Linked DNA regions of Arabidopsis thaliana. The protein of the gene in region 1 binds, or shares a complex with, the protein of each later gene. Each region holds a gene or a part of one and is shown on either strand. Other genes may lie near its edges.

What was found.
Region 2: NdhS (region 1) and PnsB5 share a complex: the UniProt entries of both Arabidopsis thaliana proteins name them as parts of the chloroplast NDH complex.

The regions. Positions count from the first base shown.
Region 1 is NC_003075.7:12,414,782-12,423,032, forward strand, and holds NdhS (NAD(P)H-quinone oxidoreductase subunit S), read right to left. Parts: upstream 6,684-8,251; 5' UTR 6,565-6,683; coding exon 5,812-6,564; 3' UTR 5,633-5,811; downstream 1-5,632. Other genes in the region: AT4G23880 (uncharacterized protein), read right to left, coding at 1,008-1,607; AT4G23882 (Heavy metal transport/detoxification superfamily protein), read left to right, coding at 2,772-2,829, 2,926-3,101, 3,187-3,265, 3,345-3,886; AT4G23885 (uncharacterized protein), read left to right, coding at 4,691-4,760, 5,112-5,257, 5,442-5,459; AT4G23895 (Pleckstrin homology (PH) domain-containing protein), read left to right, coding at 8,102-8,229. UniProt on the Arabidopsis thaliana protein: NDH shuttles electrons from NAD(P)H:plastoquinone, via FMN and iron-sulfur (Fe-S) centers, to quinones in the photosynthetic chain and possibly in a chloroplast respiratory chain.
Region 2 is NC_003076.8:17,579,367-17,585,786, forward strand, and holds PnsB5 (NAD(P)H dehydrogenase 18), read right to left. Parts: upstream 1,910-6,420; 5' UTR 1,780-1,909; coding exon 1,558-1,779; intron 1,483-1,557; coding exon 1,419-1,482; intron 1,313-1,418; coding exon 1,250-1,312; intron 1,171-1,249; coding exon 1,112-1,170; intron 965-1,111; coding exon 734-964; 3' UTR 501-733; downstream 1-500. Other genes in the region: AT5G43755 (non-LTR retrolelement reverse transcriptase-like protein), read right to left, coding at 3,611-3,861, 3,961-4,194, 4,361-4,406. UniProt on the Arabidopsis thaliana protein: NDH shuttles electrons from NAD(P)H:plastoquinone, via FMN and iron-sulfur (Fe-S) centers, to quinones in the photosynthetic chain and possibly in a chloroplast respiratory chain.

The DNA.
Region 1 (8,251 bases):
TTTCGTTTTAGAGATCTTGAAGTCTTTTATTTTTCTTATGAAAATGGGATTTTTTGTGGGGGAGTTTGCCCTTTTGCTGATTTTTTTCCCTTTTTTTACCGAGGGATATTTTTTCATCTGAGATTTTATCTCAGTGTGTTTGAGATCAGCAAAAGGCTTATTTACCCCAGAGAAAATCCTCAGAAAAAACGAAATTATGTATTCATTTTCGTCTTTCATGTAAGGTTCAATTTGTCATCATAAATAAATATTAGTAGTTTAGTATAAACTTGTTAAGTCTTCATATATCACAATCGATCTAAATTTTTCACCAATGTGCATTTCGTACGTTGATACATACCCACAACGAACAACGCATAACTGTTATAAAATTAATTTATACGGCCAGCAAAAATGATCATCAAAGTCTACTATCTACCCGTAATCAATGACCAAGCTGATTTGTCCTGTCTCGTTGGACATATAGAAAAAGAGAGTAGATGATCAAATTGATTTTAATCACTATTTACATTTTCTTTAACAGAATAGTATTATATGAATACAATAATAACAAAACTTGTAAAAACTCAGATCTTAAAGACCAGTAAAAGGTTGATACATTAGCTTTAATTAACTCCACAATTTTGTTTTCTAAAAAATAACCTAACTCCCTAAATTGAGTAAAGAAACGACATAATTAACAAAGACTTCACAATTCAAAGTGAATCAGTAATCATTCGCTTTTACGAATTTGTGCAATCAACTTCTCTCTACCATACCTTGGAATTGGATTATACTCGTGTCATGGTTTGTTAATTCTATGCTTTGTTTCTGACTTTCCTTTTTTTGGCCTTGGAATATACTAATGTCAAAATTTTGAAACATTACTATTTATGAGACGACAACAAAAAAAATTCCACAAAATCATGTTACTTCTATTAATCTGTTACAAAATATATATACAAACGTAAATTTATATAGTTTCTACTCTAAAACTACAAAATTTGATAGAAAAACTCAAGATTAACTTATTCCAGCTGGGATAACCAGCAGCCATTTCCTTGTCGCTCATTATTACAACCAACCATCACCATAGCGACTTGAAGCTGATGAACAGGGACGTGTGCGATCTGGTCCATAAGATGCTCCAACTTTAAAACGCTGTCGTTTTTGCATTTCGACAACAACCGTTGAGCTTCATGCTTTGTCATCTTGATCTTAACCCTCACGACCTCTTCCTTCCCTTCAACCATTTTCAAACTCTCTTTTTCTTCCAGAGGATTCTCCTTTGGTTTGAGTTCGTGATCATCATCAAAACTCACCGTCTTCTTTGGCTCGAAGATCTTATTATTCTCTAACTGAAACCTCACAACCTTACGTGGCTTAGCCAGAGGCTTTTTATTCTGTTCATCTTCTTCCTCTTCGCCTTCTTCAAACCTCAGCGATTTGTCAATCCTCTTGGCTCTCTGCAAGCACCGAGACTTTTTGGTCGATTCTACTGAAACCTCCTTTGATTCGTTCAGAGGCAACGTTATGTCTAAGTCGTCTCTGTAGATAGGTTTTGCTTCTAGAACGTTGTCGTACCTTTCTTGAAGCCTGTTGAAGCATTTAGCTAGAGAATCCATCATTTTCTTTTTTTTTCTTCTTCTTCAACAAATAGGGAGAGAAAGGTTTTGTGTTATCTTGAAAGTTTTTCTCTATATAATAAATTTTCGTGGGGCAGAGAATTATATAGGCGACCAACTTTACCATTATTCGGACACGTAGTGAAGTGTGCTTTGGGGTAAGAAGATGACGTCACTTTGCCGTGGGATACTAGAATAGTAGAATTTAATTATTCAAGTTTGCTTTGCTTTACTATGCAAAAAGTGTAAGAACCATCTATTACGTTAATATCTTATAAGCATAATCAAATAATACAAAACAATTGACAAGTCCATTAATTTACAGTCGATGTTGATTTACGGGAAGGTTATATTGAATTGAAGATAACTGGTTAAATTGTAAGAGATCTGAAGGTAAAAATTAGAGATAATCAGTTTTTACCAACGATCGTATAAGTATCTGCGTATGTGAATGTAACCATAGTCTATTGATGAATTTAAGGTAAACCAAGGAAAAGTGATTCTATTGCATCATTAATCAGTCAATAAGCTTTACCATGACTTTAAAGTTTTCTCTAATGTTGCTCTTCTGGAAATGACATTAAGTAAATCGGTCATCTTTATCCAATTTTTAATTATTATCTAGCGGAATAATCAACTACAAGACGTTTTCATATATTTTTTTACAAAAAGAAAACCAACTTTCCACTGAAAAAAATTGGTGCCGTGCCACTGGCGGCATATGACATGGTCAATTACTTCATTTTGAACTGGTCTAACTAAATAATTGAATAATATTTACAAAACCAAGATAAAAAACAAATACGAAAACAAGTGTATATTTGTCACAGATAACAGATTCTTTATGTAATTTGGCGTAAAGTCCGTTCGTCCAAAACCAACCTATTCACAATGTACAATTAGGTCAAGTCGAGTTTTAAACGAGGAAAATTGACAGTATTTTGTATAAGCGCTTCTTGATATGAGAAAGAAAGCCTTGCACAGCAGTAAGGCTGCATAACAAACACGATCTTGGTCATTACTCAAAATCGGAAGATGAATTGAATTAAGAAACTCATACACACCCAAAACAAGTATGTATCTAAGTATCTTCCATTACTAGAAAGTTCAAATCCTCTATTATTGTTTTCTCAATTTTTAAAAAGGAACAGTTACTAGTATAGGGAGATGATTTCGTACGTGGATATTCAACAAATGACGTTACACTTGATTATGAAGATACCAAGTTTGTGGAACCATACTTGTTTTTTTAATCGTTGTCATTTATGATGATAAAATAACAAAGAAATCACATTTAGATTTTTGTTTTTGTTTTTGAAAGGTACAATATCAAGAGAACATGGAAAGTTGTATAAATTCAGGCGAATCCAGCAATATATCAAAACGTCTATGGACTCATTTTTGAAAGTAACTTATCTCATATTTATAGTCGTCTTCTACATTAGAGTTTCAAGTAAAGGTGCTTATGCAATGGCAAACCTATCTCCACCCGTTCGAGTATATTTCTCTCTTACCACCAGAGGTTTTTGCATCTCCTTTAAGAGTTTTCTAACGAGTTTTTTTTTATGTGTAATAACTGTAGACTTGCGTTCTGAGAGTTGGAATCAAGTGTTGCAAAGGCTGCCAGACAAAAGCAAAGAGAAAGTTGCTAAATGTCTCTGGTAATAGATCCACTAGTGAAATATTGTTAAAGCTATAGTGTTGTTATAAATATTCTAGCTAATATTATTTTCGAAACAGGGGTGAGTACAGTTGAGTATAACGCAGAACAAGGGCTCTTGACAGTCACAGGTGATGCCAACCCAACAACATTGCTTCATAAGCTTACGAAATGGGGCAAAAAGGCAGAACTAGTCTCTTTTCTTGGAGACAACTACTCTTCCCATGTTCCTAGAACCCCGGAACAAAACCAAAACAAGACAATGGAGAAGAAAAAGAAGAAGCCAACAAAGTGTTGTCTTCTAATGTGTTTTGGAAATAAGAGAAGCAAGAACACAAAGATTGAGCCTATGGCGATACCAAACTGGCAATATCGAGGAGTAGGAAATGAAAATGGCAATGCCAGGCCTTTCATTAACGCGGCAATGTCACCTCCAATGGTGTATCCTCCTCCACAAGCAGTGCCTGGCTTCACAACACCCATACCATACCCTCCTCCTAGTTTTTTTCCAGGAAGACCACCACCACCATACACTGGTGCTGGTATGTTCCAGTCAGCTCCACCACAATCCCCACCATATTTTCCAGTTCCCAACCCTAGGCTGCATTACCCGCACCACTGATACAGTTCTTTCAGACGATACATTCATTGCCTGTTTCTTCTCTTAGCTATGACTCAAATGCTGAGTAATAATAAGATGGTAAATTCTTTTCAACATGTAAGGTATATGAAGAAATGCAAATGAATGATTTCCACAATAAGGCAGACTAGAAAACACATATAGACAATTAACTTGATAAACTTTTTTTTCGGCCGGACTCATGTTTTAAATGATACCAAAAATAAACATATCTTGTTGGGAAATTAGTAAATATTTTATCAATTTATTAGGATTTTTTATAGAAACGTATATATTATTTAGTGTAGACAATAGAGAGAAACAAAGAAGTGGTTAATACTTTTATTGAGATAACGCGTTGAAAGCTTACCAAATTTTGGTGGATTACGACCAACCACCCAAAAAGATTTTTACGCTTGACTAAGTCCTGGTTCTCTCTTAGTCTCTACCCTTTGCTATCAAACATTCAGTCTGAATCTGAGATTAACATAATTATGGCAATTAATGGCACTCAAACAAAAAACACGATTGAGTCAAAAACAAAAAAGAAATTCCTAGTTTGATTTTTATTTATGGTTTTGACTTGAGAGGGATTTTTTTTGTCCCAACAGAGAAACGAACATTGTGAGGCTTTTAAATGGGTCATATAGACTTATCTGGGCCTAACCACAAAAAATGGCCCACTTTTGGAGAAACTTTGAAAATAAACCCGAAGGTTCGGGAAAATACAGAGAGAGAAAATTTCCAGTCGCCGTCGTCAACATTCTCCTTTTGGTACACAGACGAGAACGAAAGAGCGAAAAGAAGATGAACGTAGTTCACGGTTTGAAGAGGATTCCTCGCATCAAATTCCCTCAGAGACATATTAATCCTTCAGGTTTTCGATTATCCATGAAACTCTCTACACAGAATCTATGTTATTTTTTCCACAATTTTGCTCGGCTTTTTCTCGCTTGATTCGAATTTTTTTTGTGTACGGTTTCATTTTCATGAATCAGATATGAGATTGTATTCATTTGGCTGTGAATTTTTGCTTTCCGATCTATTTCGCTCTGATTGATTTGCATTTACATAGTTAGATTCAAAGGATACACAGATTTGTTTAGCCATTGAATCGAATCGTGTTTGTTATCAAATCTCGAATCATTATAGAGAAGCTCTTATGTTTTTTAGCTTTTGGTTTGGGTAATCATCTGTTTGTTATGCGATTTACTTTCTGGCATTGCAGCTTCAGAGGGAAAGAGTCAGGTGGCAAATGAAGCTGATACATTGTTCTTCTCCAATTTGAACAACATCCAAAAGACTACTGGCGGGAAGGCATCATCGCAGCCAAAGCGCACGCCAGTTTCAAACGAAGAAATGGAAGCCATTTTGGTATGTAACTTCATTTTGACATGTATAACAACACTTAGATGAACATGTATCTAACAGTATAATGTGTGACCAACTACTAAGTTATAATTATGTGACCAATTACAAGTTGAGAGAACCCTTTTCATGATTTAATAATATTGTTCTGTTTCTAACTTCCTTATCCTTTTCTGAATTTTTTTTACAGTTGGGAGGCTGCATCTGATCATTTCAACATGATCTGTTGACAAGAATGGTGGATCACTTCTCATCTTTACCATTTACAGAATATACTCGATAGTCAAGAAGAAACTGATATGGTTGATGTTTACAACAACCAATGATAACAATAAAACTACTCCATTGCAGTTTTTAACTTCTATACTGATTCATCATTGATTGAGTGCATTTGAATCTCTATTATTAAGTGCTTTATGATTGAAATTCATCGTTTATTCTTTTTTTTATATCACATGATGAAGCTCTTTTAGAACCAGTCAGAAATATTGTAGCCTAAAACGCAAAGGTACGTTACATATACATTCACAGGAACTTACATACAGAGAAGAGAAGATCACTTATGGTGCTGCCTCTTCCTTTTGCATCTGTTCGATAAGAGGCTCGAGAATACAAGACTTTGGATTCTTACCCGGTGGACCTTTTTCTCTTCGTTCAAGCTCTTCAAGCCTGAAAGTAATGAGACGGTCCCAGTTTCCTCCTTCGAACAAGACACCAGCTTTTCCATCAGTGATCCTCTGCACAATTCCACAATACATGTGATACGGACTGTTCTGGTTCTTGACTATAGCAATCATCCCCGGCATGAGAAGGGGTAGCTTGGGCGCTTTCGGCTTCTTATCTGTAGCAACCGCGGATGCATCGCTTCCTTGTTTTGCAGGTGGTGGTGGTGGAGGAGGTGGTGGATTTTTTTCGATAAACGTTTTTAAACCCTTTTCGCCACCGGGAAATCCTCCTGTGAGACCCATCATCTCTTTCTCGAAACCATCTTCAGGTACTTTAAAAGACAAGTTACTGTCATCGCTCTCTCTCTCTGTCTCGTTGTTCTCAGCCTTTGATGTCTCTTGCTCGTCTTCAATGTTCCTCTGGAGCTCCTTCTCAATACCTTTCTCTCCGTTGCATAATCCTCTTCCTCCCATCACTTCCCATAGATTGAATTTACCCATGGCCTTTACTTGATACAGTTTTGACTGCTGTTTTGGAGGCGGGAAAACCGACCGGTTTACAGTTGAAAATTGATGTGTTTGGCCTAGAAATTTTGATCGATGAATCGGAGTTCTAATGGTCGGGATAGTGATCGAAGAAGTCGCCATAACTATTTTTGCCTGCAGAGTAGAGTAGAGGTGACTAAGGGAGATATGAAGAAGATGGAAGAGGAAGGAAGAAGCGTGTGATTGATTCGCTTGTTATAATGACCACATATCATGATTTCAGTTAGATGAGTTCTATCTATTTCCAAATTACCAGTGGACCTGAACCGGTTAATGCGTAACCGGTGTTTGGAATAATGATTTAGGAGAAAGAGTAGGAACATTTGGGCTTTGTCATAAGTTTAACCTGGACCAAGTTTGAATATTCTTAAGAGATATGGGCCTAGATTAAAAACAATGGTAATGTAATTAAACATATTGCTAAATGCTAATAATGTGGATTTGTTTGTTTATTAAGAAAAAAGCAGCAAGAAGAAGATAAATCATTTGGGTCAACGACATTAATAATTGGAATCCCATACTCCCAAATCATAATTAGACATACACTTTTGTCTTAGGCTGTCCTTTACACTCATCGGCATCACCAAATACTTAGTTGGCAACTTTGATCAATTAATGTATTAAGCATGAATGAAAACAACTTTTACATTGATTCGATAAATTCATTATATTGTAGATAAGATTAGTCAAAAGTTTACAAACATTCGTTAACAAATTACAAAACTTGTAATATCTGCAGCAATGCCCATGTGGGTAGAGCTGGCTGACGCAACCTAACCGGGGGATAAAAGCGTCTTTTTGGTACCAAATTTAAAGTTTCTTTATGAGTAAAATTCCCAAACCCAACATCTTCTTCCTGCTGAAGCAGTAAGCACTCAACCAAAAAACCAATTGCGTAAACACTTTCCCTTGAATACAGAGATCACATTCGATCAGGTAAAAACAAGGTCTCGATCTTCTCTTCAGTCAATTTTTTCAAATTATTCGAGGTTCCCGTCATTCGATTCCGACTTCCGAGCTTCTATTTCTGCTCAATGTTTTTGTATTTTGTTAGGGTTTCCAGAAAATTCGATTCTGTTGTTTTTAATTTGAGCTAATAAAATCTAGAATGGGAAAAAGAAAGAGTTCATTTTCGTCCTCTTTCTTTTTGTAGAAGCTGAACTTTGTTTTTCTTTTACAGCGAGCTGATTTCTCACAAGGGATATCAAAATTTCTGGTGAAGTGGGATTGTAAAATTCGGCGTTGAAAGATATATAAAGAGGTATGTTTGATCCTCAGTGAGGAATAAGGATTTTTAGTAGTTATATATCTCTCCAAGTGATGATACATACATACTTGTGGATTAGATCTATGATAAGAATAAGCATAAGATAGAGACTGAGAGACAAGTCATTTAGGGAGATTAAATAATGTTCATGGAATGCTAAAGTTCATATAGGAGTTTGTCTCATATCAGAATCTAGATTAGATCATGCTCAGATGACATCTCTTGAATGGACAAAAAAGTTTTTAACTATGTGATTTTTTCGACTTCTTTTGGGGAATCAATGTACTACAAGCTGAGAGTTTTAGAGTAGTTTCATCTCTGGCTAAGCTTTGATTCATTTTCTAGTGGAAGGTTCTGGAGTCGTTTCAATTCATGGATGATGGTACTCCTAAGAAGCTAAACATATTACCTGATCACTTTAGTGCTCCTAGTCCCACAGCAGAATCTTCTCAGCACGATACTCCATCATCTTCGCAGCCAAAGGACGATAGTTCTCTGAGGTAAATTGTTAGCGAATAAATA
Region 2 (6,420 bases), on another chromosome or scaffold:
CAAATATTAACATCTTATAAATAGCTTTATACATGAAAATTAGAAATTGATATTTCGAGTTACAAATGAATCTAACCATAAAAATTGTAAATAATATGGATCTAATTTCATTAACAATACAAAAATAAACATAAATTAGCAAAACTAACAATCAATCTAAATATTTTTTAACAATTTTCAAAACAAACCCACGCGTAGCGTGGGTACTCATCTAGTATCATAGTAAAAACTGGTATGGAACTTACGAATAGTTTGCACAATATTAAAGAAAGTGTCAGAGATACGTTAAAGCATTTTCTTGTAGAGAGACTAGGGATTAGGAGTGGAGCTGGTTTGTCACTTGATGTTCCAACTCGATAGAACTCGAAGGTGTGTTTAGCTCCTCGGACTCTTCCACAATACTGGAACACTATATTGTTGTGTTTGGACCAGGGGATGAAGTTAGCGTGTGGCATACGTCAACCTCAAATTGTATGGTTTATCCACCATTGTATGAACTAATGATGGGTATGGAAACTCGTTGGGTCCATACGAGGTACTTAGATCTTAAAAAAACATATAGTGAAGAACAGAAACCTAACACTACAAGATGAGAATCTAGGTTTTATGGTACTAAAGAAAAATAAGAGAATGAACAATCAATATTATACACATTGTACCCCGTTCATTCATCAATTTTATAAAACAGTTTACATCAAAAGTCATGATTATAACGAGATCACAATCCATTATCTTATCGTGTGGCGATATCATCTTTCTCAATGGTGAAATCCCATACATCACCATATTTGTCATTAAAGTCCCAAATGCTCATTGTGTTGTAGTCATTAATGAGCTTGTCACGAGCTCCTCTCTCCAATTTGTATATCTGAGGCTCGAAGTTGTGTGGCTGGTCAGGTTTATCCATCTCTATTATACAGAACACTACCGTGAATAACGCTGCACCTATGAACAAGTACTCACCCTGCAACACACACACACAAACACTGGTGATTCTTTTTCTTCTCATACTTGGCTTAATTATCTAATCTCTTGTACGTCCTCCACAAAACAAAAGCGATAAAACTAGTAATGATAAATTTTGGAAGCAAGCAAAAGATTTTGAAGTTACCGGAGCATCAAAATACATCCCAAGAGCTATAGCAGGAAGAAACATACAAGAGATCAAACCTGCAGACATAAAAAAACCGCGAGTTTTCAATCAATCTGCGGTACATAAAAAGCACTAAAAAGCGGGTTAAATTCATACCTTGAAACCCATTAGTTTGATCCACAGCAGCAATGTCATCAGCAATTGCTCCCCAAAATGTTCCTAAGAAACATTTCCAAGAAGACTAATCAATCAATCAAACAAAGAAATATTATAGCTCTAAAATCGAAACAGCGACAAGAATCAATAGGAGAAACCAAAATTATACCCTTTTGAACTTCTCCTTCATAGTAAGTATGAGCTCCATCGTAATATCCATACTTGAAATCTTCCTATTAACAAAAGCGCTAACCAATCAGAAACAACTTTCAGCAGAATTATGAATTTAAAATCAATTGAATCTTTACCATTTCAATGCTATTAGTCTCGAATTGACCAATCGGGTCTTCGTTGATGTCTGGTTCGATCTGTGACAATCCAGCCGCTGAGACCAGCTTCGCTAACTTCAATCTCCGGCCGGATTTGCCGCATTTTACGACATTGACGATCTGATCAGAAACCCTAGCTCCGAATTTGGAATCAGTGACCTTTGGAATCGATTTGGGTGAGAGAATCGTGACCGTTGCCATTTTTTCACTCACTTTATCTTTTTCTTGCTCTGTCTCAGAGTTTTGGAGCCATAGAAAGAAAAAACGGTTCTTTTTTTTTTTGTGTGTTCGTTAGCGAAAGAGATTAGTAGTTTACTGGTTACTGTCTGTCATATTACCAAAGTGACTGACAAGTTCGTAAGCGTCACGTGGAACGTATTCATTTGATTGTCTTCTCTAGTTGGTTAGTGAACGCTTACATCGCGTGAAGACTATTGAAACGGCCCAACTTTGTCTTTGCTGAAATCAACAATATATATTAAGCCCAATTTGATTTACGTGACAATTGCTTAATTATTAAATTCAACCCAATATTTTCCTATATCCAGTTAAATGTAAAATTCAGTTCAGGTTAAACATCATAATACTTTGCATATTTTTAATAAGGAAAAAGCAAAACAAAAAAATAATGTATTAGCCGATTTATCGAATGCCTAAACAAGAAAGATCAATAACATTCTATGGACCAATTTGTTGAATCGTACAAAATGGTTTTGTTTGTCTAGACGCCTAAACAACCTGTTTTTAGAACTTTGTAAAGGATCTATGTAGTTGGCTTTGCTATGTTCGAATTAGTAACAAGGTCAAGGCACTTCATTGATTTAGGAGACAATGACATAAGAATCATAAAGAAATGATTCCCAACTGCAACTAATAAAGGCTGGAGTGGTTGGAGAGTAGGGTAAATTAAATGCTTTGCTCTTTCTTTGATTAATGGTTACCAATATCATGTCATGTTCTAGGGTAAAATTATTATAAACCAATTTCTCTATCATTTTACTAATGAATAGAATATCAATTTATCTCAACTACTTAGAATCAAATCTCACCCAAATTTAAACGCAACAAATATAAATTAAGATTTGGGGTTTAGGTGGATGGATTGCTACGAAGTACAAACATTTTTGATGTGGAAACTAGAATAACAAATAAAAGTCGGCCAAATTTTCAACGACAAATACATTAATGTTTTAATTTATGGACTATTGCGGTTAGGTACTTGTTATCCACTTATCTTCTTAATTCATCGAAGATATTAGCTTAATGATTTGTAATCCATGTGACATGCACTTACACATGTAGTGTTTATTGAATTATTATTATTTTTTTGTTGAAAGGTTTAGTGTCTAATGAAATGCAAATATATATTTGATTCCGATAGTTGAAATCAACACTAGTTAAGCTCCTTTTTTCTTCAATATTATCTATAGAAAATATGTACCATAATTTGCTTGAAGAATTTGAGATATCTTACCGATATAACTAAAGGTGCAGAGAGATTAAAAATCATAATTCATTTTGGAAATATTTTTTTTCTAAAGAACTCATTTTGGAACACACTTTTCTACCAACTACGAAAAAAAATTCAAACTGGTTTTGTTTATTTAAGATTTAAGAATGACTTGAAAAGGTAGAATTTGTAAAACCAATGAAGAAGAAAGAATTGTGGAGTGGTAGAGAATGGTTTCTTCAAACTTCTAAGAATAATTGTTGAACGTAATTGCTTCGTTTGGTAGGAATTTTCTTAGCAATTAGAATCAGTTCTATGTTATATAACAAACATATATTTTTGCATTACTTACCACACAAACTCTCCCCAAATTGTGTGTTGACACATACCAAATGATGATATAAATACAAAACTTATCACGCACGCGTTAAAGATTCACACGCATGTTATTGACTTGTGAAAATCTCACAAGTAGTTAGTACACATGAAACGATAGTTTAGTTTTGGGTTATGAACTTATGATATGAGTTAATGGCATCATTTTTTTTTTTTTTTTTTTAACACGAACTTCATTTTTATTACTTAGGAAACGTAGTCTGAAAACAGAGCATTTGAGATACACAATGGGATAAAGCTATGAACTATGTATGAAGACAGAGCATGTTTCTGGTTTTTCGCTAAAATATCAGCAGGTTGATTTGTTGATCTGTGTGACCACGTGAACTTGATTGCGTCAAACTTATTTCTCCAAACTTTGATTTCATGGATCCAATTGATAGCATCAAATCTTGAGCCTCTTCCATTCAGAACATTGACTAGGAGCTTGCAGTCGCCTTCAAGTATTACTTTTCTAAAGCCTCTTATCCATAATTGTTGCATGGTAAGAATTAGGCTTTGACATTCTGCTTCAAAGGCTGAGGAAACGGTCGCACCTGTCGCTTGAGCAGCCCCTTTGAACACGCCGTTATCATCTCTAATTATCCAAGCTGCCGTAGAGCCACGAACTCGATTCACAAAGCTGCCATCGTAATTACACTTAATCCATCCCATATGTGGTTTTTGCCACTGACTCTGAAACTGCCTAGTTGTGCCATTAGTCGTACTCGGAGTGGGAACTTGCGCACATAAGCCATTTGTGATCCATTCTTCCGCTTCATTTGTAGCATCTCTGATATCTCTCCACCAATCGTTCTGTTTTCGTTGGAACACTAGCTTATTACGGCTTTTCCATATTCTCCAAAGGATCGAGATAGGTAGCTGCCCTTGCATTGTATGTTGTCCTGCATTTTTATGAAATTCATAAATCTCTTTAATTTTTGTTTCATAATGCACCTGGGGATTTGATAGACTCGGAAGGGGAATGTTCGAAGCTCTCCATATTTGGCGAGCGTGTGGACACGTAAAGAACAAATGATCCGTAGTTTCTCTCGTTATGACACATCTACGACAAAAACTATCTGTGACGATTCTTCGGCTTTCAAGTTCAGAGTTGGTAGAATGGCATCATTTCTTATTTTCTTGATAATGACACAAAGTTTTCTTGTCTACAACATCATTTTAAGAAAATTAAACGTTTTTCACCAAAGCCGCGGGAATAAAATCATGAAGAATGGTTAGAACGTGGTATTTAAAGATGAGACCAGACCAAAGCAAGTCAATACAAAGTCAAATAGAACTCGATCGGAAACGATTATCAAATTTTGGATTTCTTTTTTTGGGGCAAATTTTGGTGTTTTGAACTGTATTTTTAATTGTTTGTTATGATTTCATATACAAATTAGTTTTAGATAGAATAATGAAAATATTTAAGTGAATACTATGTTGTAAAGTGTAAATAATAGACTTTTATAAGCCTTTTAACGAAAAAAGAATGTAAAAAATAAAATATAGACTTTTGTTTATGAAATTACAACCTCTTTGATAATGATATAACATATGTGAAAATGCAATGTTTTTCTTGATTCGTTTGGTCAAAAAGGAAAAATCAAGTGTGAATTAGTTTCTGATGAGGTTCAATAGTTTTTTTTGTATTATCTTAAAATTTATTCACAATAAATATAGTAGTAGGCGATAAAGAAAGTGCAATGTTTTTCCTTTGACTACATTTAAGTTATAGATTATTTTATGATGAGCAAAATCCTCAATCTTATATCTAATTGGTTTTTCTGAAAATATCCACCACAACTCAAACTTCTTCTTTGTTTGCAGCTGCAATGTCAACCGGTATTAATATAGAAGAGTGACAGAGAATGTATGATTCTCTATCTGCAAAATGGTTTTGAATTGGGACTGTGCCGGTCGATGATTCCGCTCATCATCTAGTCGCGGGTTTTGAAATGGGACTCTTTATAATTGATATCCAACTGTATAAAAATCTTGAACATCCTTAATTTGAAACATAAAAAATATGACATTAACTATCTGATTAATTTTCACTTAAGGGATGGTTAGTTAAGTTACATTGGATTAAAAATGGTATTAGTAGACCAATTAGAACATGTATGCCATTTTTTGTTTACAAAAACCTTTTTAAGTGGTATTTATAAGACTTGCTCAATTTCATTCAAAAGAACATGAAATGGATGGACTAGTTTTAATGGCAATAACCCACACAATTACTCATATTTGGTTCAACAAACTTCTATTTCGGTTCACTTATTAATTTTCCATCTATATATGAATCATATAATATGATTAATTTACACAAGTTCACACGGCCACGTAAAATGTAACTGTCTTCAAGTTGTGCACATAAAGAGGGTAGTTTCGAAGATAACGGGTCAACGAAAGGGTAAAAGAGTAAATTGCATAGAACGCGGCCAAATTAAAAGCCCCCAATTGGGATAAAAGTCATCGCCGTCTCTTAGGTGTCAAATCTCAACTGTCTAAAAACATTAAAAGCTTCGTTGGGGTAGTTGCATCTTCCCTCTCTAATACAAAACTTATTTTATCCAGTTTTAGTTTCGATTTTTCATTTGTTAACATGTTTTCATTTTTCTTTTAATGTTAATAGCCTTTTTATTTGGAAAATGAAAACAATTTCACAATTTAATTCTAAATTACCATTTCTAAAAAATAGAAATAATATAAATAATAATATTGAATAATACATGGACTAAAAAATTATAGTACTGTCCTAAACAAAATTGCTTGACTAGATTGAACAGAAAATGTTTTTGATGTCTTACTAGTTTGAACAATTTATTTGCTAACATTATTCTCTTTGTATATTTCTTAAAAACCCATATTTTTTCCTTAAATATTTCCCATTTCCCCTAACTACATTCAATAGCTAAGTCTCTCTCTCCCTCTCTCTTTCTCTCTCACTCAAAAATTTCCCATTAAATTCTCAAATTTTCTCCAACTTTTTAGGCCATTCTCTTTTCTCCTCT